2 linked regions of the Saccharomyces cerevisiae S288C genome follow. Each later gene encodes a partner of the first gene's protein in a complex. Each region holds a gene or a part of one and is shown on either strand. Other genes may lie near its edges. A codon is read from its position in the direction of its gene.

Region 1 (9,560 bases):
CTTTTCAATGGTGTAACCATCGTTGTTCAAGACGAACAAGTATGGCTTCAAGCCCCATCTGATCATGGTGGAGATTTCTTGAACAGTCAATTGCAAAGAACCGTCACCAATGAATAAGATAACTCTCTTCTTTGGATCAATTTCTTCAGCAGCGAAAGCAGCACCCAAGGTAGCACCAGTGGTGAAACCAATGGAACCCCATAAGACTTGAGAGATACCGTAGGTGTTGTTTGGGAAAGTGGTTTGGTTGATACCGAAAGCGGAGGTACCGGTTTCAGCAATGACAACATCACCTTCTTGCAAGAAGTTACCCAATTGGTTCCACATCCATTCTTGCTTCAATGGGGTAGAAGCTGGGACAGCAGCGTTAGCTGGAGTTCTAGCTGGGACAGCAACTGGCTTGTAACCCTTAGCGGCGTCAGCAATAGTGGTCAACAACTTTTGCAAAACGAATTTCATTTGGACACCTGGGAAAGTGGCGTTTCTGATCTTCATGTGGTCGGAGTGGAATTCGACAATGTTCTTGGTCTTGTAAGAGTAAGAGAAAGAACCGGTGTTGAAATCAGACAACAAAGCACCGACAGACAAAATCAAGTCAGCAGATTCAACGGCTTCCTTAACTTCTGGCTTGGACAAGGTACCGACGTAAACACCACCGTATCTTGGGTGTTGTTCGTCAATGGAACCCTTACCCATTGGGGTGACGAAAGCTGGGAATTGAGTCAAGTCAATCAACTTCTTAGTTTCAGCCTTGACGTCGTGTCTGGAACAACAAGCATCAGCCAAGATAACTGGGTTCTTAGCATCCTTGACCAAAGCCAAGATGGTGTCAATGACTTCCTTTTCGGATTCAGCATCGTTTGGCTTCAAAGACATGTCAATTGGAGTTTGCAACAACTTAGCTGGGACGTTCAAGTCGACCAAGTTAGCTGGCAAACCTAAGTAGACTGGTCTTTGGGTGACGTAAGTGGTTCTGATACATCTGTCAATTTCAGCTGGGGCGGTAGCAATGTCAGTGATCATAGCAGTGGTTTCAGAAATGTTGGCAGACATTCTGTGGAAAACAGTGAAGTCACCGTTACCCAAGGTGTGGTGCAACAACAATTGCTTAGCTTGAGCAGAGATGGATGGGACACCAACAACGTGCAAAACACCGACGTGTTCAGCGTAAGAACCGGCAATACCGTTCAAAGCAGACAATTCACCGACACCGAAGGTGGTGATGATACAAGACATACCCTTGATACGAGCGTAACCATCAGCGGCGTAAGCAGCGTTCAATTCGTTGGCGTTACCAGCCCATCTCATACCTTCAACTTCGTAGATCTTGTCCAACAAGGACAAGTTGAAGTCACCTGGCAAACCGAAAACGGTGTTAACGTTGACTTGCTTTAATCTTTCGAACAAATATTTACCCAAAGTAATTTCAGACATTTTGATTGATTTGACTGTGTTATTTTGCGTGAGGTTATGAGTAGAAAATAATAATTGAGAAAGGAATATGACAAGAAATATGAAAATAAAGGGAACAAACCCAAATCTGATTGCAAGGAGAGTGAAAGAGCCTTGTTTATATATTTTTTTTTCCTATGTTCAACGAGGACAGCTAGGTTTATGCAAAAATGTGCCATCACCATAAGCTGATTCAAATGAGCTAAAAAAAAAATAGTTAGAAAATAAGGTGGTGTTGAACGATAGCAAGTAGATCAAGACACCGTCTAACAGAAAAAGGGGCAGCGGACAATATTATGCAATTATGAAGAAAAGTACTCAAAGGGTCGGAAAAATATTCAAACGATATTTGCATAAAATCCTCAATTGATTGATTATTCCATAGTAAAATACCGTAACAACACAAAATTGTTCTCAAATTCATAAATTATTCATTTTTTCCACGAGCCTCATCACACGAAAAGTCAGAAGAGCATACATAATCTTTTAAATGCATAGGTTATGCATTTTGCAAATGCCACCAGGCAACAAAAATATGCGTTTAGCGGGCGGAATCGGGAAGGAAGCCGGAACCACCAAAAACTGGAAGCTACGTTTTTAAGGAAGGTATGGGTGCAGTGTGCTTATCTCAAGAAATATTAGTTATGATATAAGGTGTTGAAGTTTAGAGATAGGTAAATAAACGCGGGGTGTGTTTATTACATGAAGAAGAAGTTAGTTTCTGCCTTGCTTGTTTATCTTGCACATCACATCAGCGGAACATATGCTCACCCAGTCGCATGTTGTTACCCTCATGAAACATGTATGAGATATTACTTTGAATAGGTTACTTGCATGCATTTCGGCGTGCGGGTACCACCTCTTTGCATGAGCTTGTTCCTTTTTCAAGTTGAAGACTATATATTTTATTGAGTTTATGTTATGGGGAGGCTACCCTTTACGTCCTGGTTGTCCCTTCCCGCCTTGATTTGGCCTTCATTTTTTCAATTCTGGCCTTTAGGGTAGATGTCACTGCAGCGGCACGTTTATAACTTTCTTCTGAGGCAAAACTATCGTTGAAATCGATATCCAAATCGTCGGAGACACTGCTCACTCCAGTGCCGTTTTTTCTGTACGGCCGTATGTTAAGAGAGTTTACGCGGTGCGGCAGGTCGCCGATGGACTCGCTTGATCTTCTTTCATAGTTGACGTCCTCTTTCCTTCTGACATCTTCCTCCTCCTTAAATGGCAAAGCGGAAGATAAAGATTTTACCCCATAGTTGCTTGACACGGTGGAAGAAGGTATGGAGTATGATGAAATCGTACCCATCGATTGCAAGTTTGTATCATTTCTTTTCTTATTTCTATCCAATTCGATCTCCATGTTTCTAAGCTCGTTTTCTAGTGACAGTACTCTATCAGACAGCTTATTGACATCAATCTCCTTGGATCTTAATTGAATGTTCTTTTCGTTCAATTTAGACTGCGCTTCCTTTAGTTGCTCTCTTAGCATTTCGTTTTCTTTAATCATTTCGATCTTATAATTTTCTGTATTATTCATCTTTTCCAATAGGCTTTGTCTTTCTTTGGTCCATATCATCTCATCATTTTGTAGTTTTTGCAGTCTGTACTTGTATTCTTCAATCAACTTTTCATTCTTGTCAGTGCTATTAGCTACTACGTTTTTTGGCGTTGCCAAAGACTTAGACGTCAACAGGACCCTCGATTTATTGTTAGCAGCTACCATTGATGGTTTTGATGCGGAGGCTACTGACCCTATTGGGTTCACTTTACTTTTGTTATCATTTCTCAGCGGTGAAGATGCCACTCTCTTGGAGGGAAGTACAGAACTTTTTTTCAGGAGAAATTTATTCTCCATTGGCCCAGTTTGTTTATTCGTTTCAATAGTGCTATGGGTACTACCACTTGCAATACTGAAATTAGGTAGAGTTTTGACCGTTTCTTCAATTTTTTTCCTTTTCAAATTATCCAAGTGCTCTAATGTTTTCACAAAGGTATTCATGCCAAATATTTTAATTAGAATGGCGAAACTCTCAAATCCAATAGTTCTTATAGCAGGTTGGGTGTCGTTGACGATCTGAATCACAATTGGTACCACTTCATCCTTCAAGTATCTTTGCAGGGTCGAGTATCCATCTTTTTCTTCTTTCATGCTTGCATTAAACAATTGCGTACACTCCATTCTGATTTGAGGTGTCTTGTGCTTCATATGCTCCAAAATATCTTTCAACATATCTTCATTGCGTCCACTGGAGGCTAATGGATCGTAATACTTGCAGATGGTTAATAATGCCTTCCTAATGGCCTCTATCACAGAAGGTTTCTTTTCCTTTGTCCTGTCTAACAAGGGAGTGAAGACTAGTGAAACATAATCCTTGGAAAAGCCTGGTGTTTTTAGTTTGTCGCAGATTAATTCTACTGATTGAGCGGCTAGTGCAACAGCTTGAATGTTTGCATCTTTCTGGATAATATGGCCATATATCCCCAATAAGTTGGAATAATTTTGCGAGGTGCTTTTTAACTTCTTAGTCTGCGATAGAACACTATCCCAAAATTCTTCCAGCGCTTCCACTCTATCTTTCCATTTGGACGACGTTATCCTTTCCTGGAAGTCCTTAGGCAGTTTATCGAGGATCGTCTCCTCCGGTAGCATACTGAAGGTGTCTATTTGAACTCCACTTTGCTGTTTTGATGGTGGCATATCCGTTTCCATCCCCATCAATGTATCTCCATCCTTATCTATCTGATATTCCCCCTCATCATTCGATAATATGGACTTTCTTTTCCTGGCTTCCTCCTCTTGGCTTCTTTTCTTTTCCAATTCTCTTTTCTCCCACTCGAATAACATTTTCGATGACGATGGCTCGTCACCAACTTTTGCAAACAATTTATGAAGATCTTTCACTTGAATTGGTTTTAATTTTTTAAACAGTATCTCCTCTAACAAGTCGCTATTGTTGCCCGTAACCTTATAGATCTCGACAATCAAATTCATCGTTTGTGATCGAACGTTTCTATCACCATGACCGGCTAGTTGAGGTACGTGCTTTAATAATTCTGGTAGAAACGTTTGAACGTTCACATTAGTGAGCCCGAATGCAGCCATCAACTCATAAACACAATTGGCTGCCGCAGCAATTAATTTTGGCAGTTTTTTCTCGAAAAAGGGTATTACCAATTCCACCGATTGCGTAATAGATGTATCAAGACCACATAGTGAGAGTATACAGCTCATCGACTGCGTCTTCGTTGTAGCCCTTGAGGACGTTAAGCCCTTTTCCACAAGCAATGGTGTCCATGTTGATATTAAAGTAATATTATGTGCATTTTTCAAAGACGATGACGCAAAGGCATCTATTAAACTATTCAAGGCAACAATGGCTTGTTCTTGAGCGACCACATTAGAATCAGTTATATATTGTGCAAATAATGTAGGATCCCTCCAGTAAATTTGTATGTTGTCATCCCTACTGATGTCGCCAACGGAGTTTCTAAAAAGCTGGTTTAACTCCTTATAAGCTTCTAAACGTGCCTTCCATAACTTGTACGTTAATCGCTCTTCTAGGGGTAACGTTGTATAATCTACTTCTTCTTCTCCTGACATAGTCAACTTCAAACTCTTTAATAAAAACTCAAAAATACTTTACACTGTAAAGATAGCTGTTTCTTTGTAGTTTAGTAATGCTATTTGGTCCCTAGGTCTGGTAGGTTCTTCATTTACTCTTCCTATGGAGTGTCAAGCAGACAAAACAAAAACAAAAACAAAAACAAAAACGACACGAAAAAAAATAGATTCGTTAACCATGATAATCTTTGCACCATATAAAGGAAAAGACAAGATTGACTTCTAATGCCCAGCACAAATATTATCCAACTATTTAATTAATAAATTTTTGACTACTTAATCTTCAGACACAGATTCCTTGTCTAATAATTTGTTTAATTGAATATTGACAGATTTATCCTGCAGCTTGAACAAATTTCTTGCGCGAAAGGTTGCTAGGAAAATCAAAGGTAGTAAAAACATTAGAACTGTATCGAAAACGTAAAGGCACCATTCGTGCTGACCTATATAGCTTTGTAAGCCCATTAGAAATTGTACTACTCTGACAATGGTTCTACCATTAACCAGCAATATCCCAGCTAAAAGTATAAAATTGTACTGGAACCATTCATTACTATCCCGCACAATTTTACTAGGCGTTGCCTTCATTTTATAGTGAAGAAAAAGTTGACTGAACGTTAAAAAGGTATAACAAAATATCTGAATGAAAAGACCCACAATAATTAGGATACGCCCAGTATTCCTGCTGTTCCATGAGGATAACAACCCACCTCCTACAGCCTGTAGGACACGCCCAATCATATCTGCCACTACGAAAGAAACTGTACTAAATTTCGCAGGAATTAACATATATGCCTCCATAAGAATTAGACGTGCCATTTTGCTGAACAACATAAAAATACTAAGGGCGTAAAGTGAAGGTGCTATCAATAGAAGCACCGATTGAGCAATGAAAGTCGAAATCGAGGGGCTATTGATAAAGACTATTTTCAACACATAACCCACGAACTCTAAACAAATCCCTAAAACGAAAGGAAAATGTGTCCACATCAAACCGCGGGCAGGAAAGTATATTATTGTGGAATTTTCCTCTGACAACTCATTGTTTTCCCAGCGATGAATACGTCTCTTGCTCGTGTGTGTTGCCATTATGATCTGCACCAAGGCAGAAAGGATTAAAATGCCAAACAGAACGACAAATGCAATCGCTGCACCTTTGTGAGGATTGTATGCATAAAAACCTTCATAATCAGTGATTGCTTTAGTAAAAAAATTCCTATTGAGGCAGTTGAGTTCTTTTATCGACAATAAGTCTCTAGTACAGTAGTGAGAGTGTCATGTATTCAGTACCAAGAAGAACTTATATGCCTTTTATAATTCATCTTATAAGTTGCTAGACATACAAATAATCAATATGGAAATGTGCTTATTCCCGCTAATATCCATTAATATCCGCTGTCATTTTTCGCAACTATCACCAAGTGGAGAGAGGCTTGACAACCACCAGAAAAAAACTAAATCAGCCTGCGGAACTTTTCTCGGAAAAAATCAGTTAGAAAAGATCGTACATAGGGCCCTTTTTTGACAGTAAGATTAAAGAGCAAAACGGGACATTATAGATATGCCACCATCAAATACGTGAATTTTCCAAGCCTCATAAACTAATAGCCAACTTGCAACTCTTATAATGCAAAACTTTCTCCGTGAAAGTGTAAACCACCATCTGTCGCCCATCTTTTGGTGCTTTCAATTAAGCCTCTAGGGCCTGCAGCGAGAACCCATACTTGTGACAAATATTCAGCATGGTCTCTGCCTTGATTCGCCCACCTGCAACATTGAATAGAATCCGTCTCTGCATCACATTCGGTTTGCAGACACCATTCATAATCCTTATCTCCAAGTGTAGGCCTGCCAAAGAACACTTTAACACCTGCGGGAATTCTGATCTTTTTAGGCGCCGCCTCTAAACAAGGATCTTGGGCAGGTGGCTCAATGATCTTTGGTTGTCTGAAAACGCTCGATCCGTTAAACGAAGAATGTGTAGTTAGAGTTCCTTGTGCAGTATTTTTCCTTGATTTGGATCTGCTAAAAGCATATGTAAAATCTATCTCGTCATCAGCATTGATGTCAGGTATATCACTTGTTTTTGGTGGGTGATGGTTTCTCAAGGTAGATTTCTTACTTAGAAGGGCTGTGTTCTCATTGGGCTCCGTAGGTTGGGGATTTCCATCTGATAACATGGAATTATCTCCCAGTTCTGAAACTCGGCCGCTCGAAGAAATACTCCTGACTTCATCATTAATATCAGCAGCGCAGTCATGATAGTCAATATAATCAATTTCTATGTCCTGTTCGTTGCCTTCGGTGCCACTAATATATATCTCCATACCTTCAAAATTGTTTTTGAAGTGGTTCAATACTTCCAGATCCTTATAATCTCTAGAAACCCAAAGGAGCCTAACGTTTACACCGTTGAAGTTTAGAATACGAAGTAGTGGTAAGCCAAAGGAAATTCCTGAACCTCCAACACACATAAACACTCTTTGCGCTTTAATTAGAAAATTTAAAGGCGAATTTATTAGTGCAGAAGAATTGTTTCGAAATGGATTCTTGGAAGATTTCGTGGTAATATTAAAAGGAACAGTAGGTTTAGAAATGAAACTCAACTCAGGTTCAAAAGCCCCTGTAATGTAATACTTTTCATTTGTACGCAATGGAAAATGCCCGTTTCTAATAATTAACCTGACCAAATTATCACTTGGAATACTAGCAATAGTAAAAGGATGTTGGAAGGGTATCAAATGGGAGAAAAACCTCCTTAAAAAATTTCTATGGTAAATGTTGATCCTTAGATGCCCTCCTGGTAGGATGGGCTTTTTGGGTAAATCGGTTAATGGGAACTCCAAAAGAGACAATGATGAAGAAATGGGTACTATCGTAACTCTCGTAACATTGGTGATATGGAGCCTATAGACGATTTGTCCCGTTAATATGAGCACATTTAAAGTGGTATAATATGAAATTCCTGGGCGAGCGTGATAATGTAGAAACACCAAAATAAGCCATGTGCTTACATAGTGAACATAGTAAAAAACTCTGTAGCTCCATCGTCTGGCATATCTCACAGAGGTGATGGCAATCAGTAGGAAAAGGCCGAGGGCAATAACCCCATAAATGTTGGGTAGTTTTCTCATTTTCACGTATAACGTATCATTAATGTACATGTAATAGAGATAGAACCACGTGTGTAGAATAGATTCAAGCACAACAATTCTGGAAATCCATTTGTGGAGAGGTAACAATGCTAAGTATAACGTGTGAGGTAACGGTGATGGCCTCAACGTTAGAAATAGTAAAGGTGGCATCAAAGCAACGGAAATTCTCCCCATTCGCTTAGTAATTTCTAACAGATCTCCGTTAGCGCCTTGTATAACAAAAAACGAGGTGAAAACAAAGCATATTAAACATAGTTGTAGTGACTGTTTGTGATACATATGTGTTTTGTGAACCCATGATCTTCTGTTGAAAACATGATGCTTTAAATGGTGACATATTTTGAAGAATTTGTCAGTTAGCAACAAATAATTCATTAAGGGTATAATAACACATATTATAATGAAAGAAATTAAAAGACATATCTGAGAATATTTGCGGACTCTTAAAGTTCTAAAATGCTTGTCCACGTCGACATCAAAACTGGGAAGATGTTCCTTGAACCAGCTAACGATGGACTTTAAATTCATGCTGAAAATAACAATAAATAAAATACAGTAAACTTTTTTAGCGGAACTTCTATTGTAATTTAACGATTTAATCTGAAGAGATGTAGATGTAATAAAACTGTTAAAGTGGCAACGTGATAATTAAAAGCTTGGCAAAAATAAGAGATCAACACTAGCTTTTTCTTTTTCCACCTAAATTTGAAGGGAAATAAAAAAGAAATTGAGGCTGTACAGAGTGTTAATCTTCCATAACGGATACCACCAAACGTTTTTACCCTAAACTTAAATTTTATTACTTATTTTACATGCATAATGGCTGCCATGCGTAGTTCATACATGTTATTTGCACCCTTTTTCTTTTTCAATAACAAAAAAGAGCTTGGGCATTACGTTTTCAACACTTTTAATATTTCCCTTTTTACATCCGTACATATAAAATGTAAACCCATGCATTCATGACAATTTTACCTATTTCTTAAAGGCCTTTGTCACTTCTTTATGGGAATGGCGCTACTTTAATTTTCCGCCTACTTTGAAAAATTTACCAAGGCGAAATTGAGTGCGCTAGGCGGAAGTTCCAGGGCACGGTCACCGAACCTTTGTGCTGTTTCGAACGAGGGTCCCGCTGGAGGTTGACGGACGCGGGAGGAGCTGGAAAGATGGAATGGAAGGACTGCAACACTCAGTAAGAAGGTTCGTGGTAGGGAACATCACCTTCTCTAGTTCCTGTAAAAATAATATGATCAAGTTTGAATCCTCGTATTGAAAAATCGCGAGTTATTAAGTGTGTAATTTAGAATACCGAAATAGCACAAGAAGAG
Region 2 (4,211 bases), on another chromosome or scaffold:
CGATGTTAGTACATGAGACTTAGTAACAGTAGCAAATAAAAGAAGAATATCACTATCACTTATCACGAAAATATTTCAGTTTTTTTTTTTTTTCCAAATTTCAAGCCCCTATTTATTCCAATAATATCGTGGTTATTACAGATCAGTCAATATAGGAGGTTATGGGAGAGTGAAAAATAGTAAAAAAAGGTAAAAGAGAAATCTCTCGAGCAATTGGGACCGTGCAATTCTTCTTACAGTTAAATGGGATGGTGCAAGCGCTAGAACATACCAGAATCCATTGTTAATTCAGTAAATTTTCGATCTTGGGAAGAAAAAAGCAGTAAGCGTGAAAAATCTAAAAGCTGATGTAGTAGAAGATCCTATTCTTTAACAAAGATTGACCTTTTCTTTTTCTTCTTGGTTTGAGTAGAAAGGGGAAGGAAGAATACAAGAGAGAGGAAAAAAAGGAAGATAAAAAGAGAGCGTGATATAAATGAATATATATTAAACAAGAGAGATTGGGAAGGAAAGGATCAAACAAACCCAAAAATATTTCAAAAAGGAGAGAGAGAGGCGAGTTTGGTTTCAAAACGGTTTATTTATTTATGCAAGAGGACGTGGAAGAAAAAGAAGAAGGAAGAAAAAAATTTGAAAGAAAAAAACGCGTGGCGGGTAAAGAAGAAAATGGAAAATAGAGGCCGGGTGACAGAGAAATATTGAGGGTTAATTGGAAAATATGTTAGGGTGAGGCATATGTTTTTAAGGGTTTTGAGGATCCGATAAGGAAGAATGTAGGTTAAATGTTGTGCATTAATTGCTGTGGCAGCTTACCCGCTTCCCCACACATTTTGGTAGTATCTGTCCTCTTGTTATTGTTACTGTAATTGTGTATATATGTTCTCGCGTGTGTCTTATTTACTTATTTAGTTATTATATTATATGGGTCTGCAAGGTAGAGGCGCGCTTGTTCAACAGCAGCCCCCACCGGTGTTGGTTAAACTCTGTCCCTTCAGGTTGACGTTCCCTTTGTCTTCCTTCTTCTGAGTGGTTTCGTTCAGGTTTTGTTGGGACATACTTTCCTTGATTTGTCTAGCCATGGTTAAAAACGCATCCTCGACGTTGGTGGAGTCCAAAGCACTAGTCTCTAAGAACGGCATCTTATTCGCGTCCGCAAATTCCTTTGCCACGTCATATTCCACGACACGCTTGTCCTTTAAATCACACTTGTTACCTACCAATAGCTTCAACACTGTTGAGGTTGCATACCGATCAATCTCTTGCAGCCACATCTTCACGCCGTTGAAGGATTCTTGGTCAGTGACATCATACACGATAATGATCCCATGCGAACCACGGTAGTAAGATGAAGTGATAGTACGGAAACGTTCTTGACCTGCAGTGTCCCAAATCTGTAGCTTTACAGTCTTGCCGTCCAGTTCTACAGTCTTAATCTTGAAGTCCACTCCAATTGTGGAGATGTAGTCGTTGGTATATGTGTCGTCCGAAAACCTCAAAAGTAAACAGGACTTCCCGACACCGGAATTCCCGATCAACAGCAGTTTGAACAGGTAATCGTACTCGCTATTCATATTAGTGCTTTTCTTGTTTTATTTATTTCAACCTGGGCCTAACAGTAAAGATATCCTCCTCAAAACTGGTGCACTTAATCGCTGAATTTGTTCTGGCTTCTCTTCTTTTTCTTTATTCCCCCCATGGGCCAAAAAAAATAGTACTATCAGGAATTTGGCGCCGGGTCACGATATACGTGTACAGTGACCTAGGCGACGCCACAAGGAAAAAGGAAAAAAACAGAAAAAACAACAAAAACTAAAACAAACACGAAAACTTTAATAGATCTAAGTGAAGTAGTGGTGAGGCAATTGGAGTGACATAGCAGCTACTACAACTACAAAAGCAAAATCTCCACAAAGTAATATAATGAGAGAAATCATTCATATCTCGACAGGTCAGTGTGGTAACCAAATTGGTGCTGCATTCTGGGAAACTATCTGTGGTGAGCACGGTTTGGATTTCAATGGGACATATCACGGCCATGACGATATCCAGAAGGAGAGACTGAACGTGTACTTCAACGAGGCATCTTCTGGGAAGTGGGTTCCAAGATCTATTAACGTCGATCTAGAACCTGGGACGATTGACGCAGTACGCAATTCTGCCATCGGGAATTTGTTTAGACCTGACAATTATATCTTTGGGCAAAGTTCTGCGGGCAACGTGTGGGCCAAGGGTCACTACACAGAAGGTGCTGAGCTTGTAGACAGCGTCATGGATGTTATTAGACGAGAGGCCGAAGGATGCGACTCCCTTCAAGGTTTCCAGATCACACATTCTCTTGGTGGTGGTACCGGTTCCGGTATGGGTACGCTTTTGATCTCGAAGATTAGGGAAGAGTTTCCTGATCGTATGATGGCCACCTTCTCCGTCTTGCCCTCTCCGAAGACTTCTGACACCGTTGTCGAACCATACAATGCCACGTTGTCTGTGCACCAATTGGTAGAACACTCTGATGAAACATTCTGTATCGATAACGAAGCACTTTATGACATCTGTCAAAGGACCTTAAAGTTGAATCAACCTTCTTATGGAGATTTGAACAACTTGGTCTCGAGCGTCATGTCTGGTGTGACAACTTCATTGCGTTATCCCGGCCAATTGAACTCTGATTTGAGAAAGTTGGCTGTTAATCTTGTCCCATTCCCACGTTTACATTTCTTCATGGTCGGCTACGCTCCATTGACGGCAATTGGCTCTCAATCATTTAGATCTTTGACTGTCCCTGAATTAACACAGCAAATGTTTGATGCCAAGAACATGATGGCTGCTGCCGATCCAAGAAACGGTAGATACCTTACCGTTGCAGCCTTCTTTAGAGGTAAAGTTTCCGTTAAGGAGGTGGAAGATGAAATGCATAAAGTGCAATCTAAAAACTCAGACTATTTCGTGGAATGGATCCCCAACAATGTGCAAACTGCTGTGTGTTCTGTCGCTCCTCAAGGTTTGGACATGGCTGCTACTTTCATTGCTAACTCCACATCTATTCAAGAGCTATTCAAGAGAGTTGGTGACCAATTTTCCGCTATGTTCAAAAGAAAAGCTTTCTTGCACTGGTATACTAGTGAAGGTATGGACGAATTGGAATTCTCTGAGGCTGAATCTAATATGAATGATCTGGTTAGCGAATACCAACAATACCAAGAGGCTACTGTAGAAGATGATGAAGAAGTCGACGAAAATGGCGATTTTGGTGCTCCACAAAACCAAGATGAACCAATCACTGAGAATTTTGAATAATTAAGTTGCTTTCCTTTCTTTTTCTTACCTTTCTTCTTCTCTAGGATTGAAGCACTTGGAGCAAAATAAACAAAAATCAAAAAAACTAATTAAATATCTTTAAAATATTACCGTACGAAAAAATTTATACCATTCCCTACTGAAGTATGTAATTCAAAATATATATATGTATATGTATATGTACATATATATGTATATACTATCTTAACAACCTTTAACCTTCCGAGCTATTGATTTTTGATCCTCACTTCAGCGGCTAAAAAAAAAAAAAACACCCCGAGTATTAGTGAATATAGATATATATATATATATATATATATATAAGGAGGCCGATAAAAAAGAACTTGCAATATTACGCAGATCAGGGATTTACTAAAAGAAAAGTAATAAAGGACTGCTGCTTCCAAAGAAAGAAGATTACAACATGTTGATGATTGTGGAAGCGGTGCTTATGGTATTCTACCTGTTTCCCCAGAATTTTGTTGAGAACTAATCATGAACAAAAAACTGTGTTTTATATTGTGATTTCCATAATTCCATTACAATTTTGTACCAAGCATAGGTCTGATTATCAACAATACGCTGCTTCAGTCCTTTTATTTAGCAGTACGTTGCTTGTTATTCCTTCATCATCTAGCCGCCATAGTTGGAACCCCGCGTGAAAAATGATATACATTTCGTATTCAGTGATCTGGGGTTGCATGAATAAAAATTCTGGGTAAATTGTGGGTGGGTACACTTTGGCAAAGGCTAACCCCGAATTTTTCATTATTTCGGTTTTTTTTCTTTTTAATTTCAAGAAAATGGAAAACTTTAAGAATAACGACGTTGATTTTAGCCTCTCCGTGAAGATATTGGTAAAAAGATAGGTGTCGTCGATTATAGCCACCAGCTTTTACAAAAGATACCACCAGCTT

What was found. The genes of interacting proteins can lie anywhere in the genome.
Region 2: the proteins of STU2 (region 1) and TUB2 are in contact, whole or in part, in a crystal structure (PDB 4U3J), measured with the Saccharomyces cerevisiae proteins. Residues at the interface, in NP_013146.1 of Saccharomyces cerevisiae: Ser339 (codon at 4,042), Trp341 (codon at 4,036), Arg344 (codon at 4,027), Ala384 (codon at 3,907), Asn385 (codon at 3,904), Ile386 (codon at 3,901), Gln387 (codon at 3,898), Lys425 (codon at 3,784), Lys427 (codon at 3,778), Lys428 (codon at 3,775), Lys469 (codon at 3,652), Thr470 (codon at 3,649), Pro471 (codon at 3,646); in NP_116616.1 of Saccharomyces cerevisiae: Tyr106 (codon at 2,236), Thr107 (codon at 2,239), Glu108 (codon at 2,242), Ala110 (codon at 2,248), Glu111 (codon at 2,251), Asp114 (codon at 2,260), Lys154 (codon at 2,380), Glu157 (codon at 2,389), Pro160 (codon at 2,398), His195 (codon at 2,503), Ser400 (codon at 3,118), Glu401 (codon at 3,121), Gly402 (codon at 3,124), Glu407 (codon at 3,139).

What each region holds. Positions count from the first base shown.
Region 1 is NC_001144.5:232,648-242,207, forward strand, and holds STU2 (Stu2p), read right to left. Parts: upstream 5,057-9,560; coding exon 2,390-5,056; downstream 1-2,389. Other genes in the region: PDC1 (indolepyruvate decarboxylase 1), read right to left, coding at 1-1,434; YLR046C (uncharacterized protein), read right to left, coding at 5,354-6,166; FRE8 (putative ferric-chelate reductase), read right to left, coding at 6,700-8,760.
Region 2 is NC_001138.5:54,416-58,626, forward strand, and holds TUB2 (beta-tubulin), read left to right. Parts: upstream 1-1,920; coding exon 1,921-3,294; downstream 3,295-4,211. Other genes in the region: ACT1 (actin), read right to left, coding at 272-281; Rab family GTPase YPT1, read right to left, coding at 951-1,571. UniProt on the Saccharomyces cerevisiae protein: Tubulin is the major constituent of microtubules, a cylinder consisting of laterally associated linear protofilaments composed of alpha- and beta-tubulin heterodimers.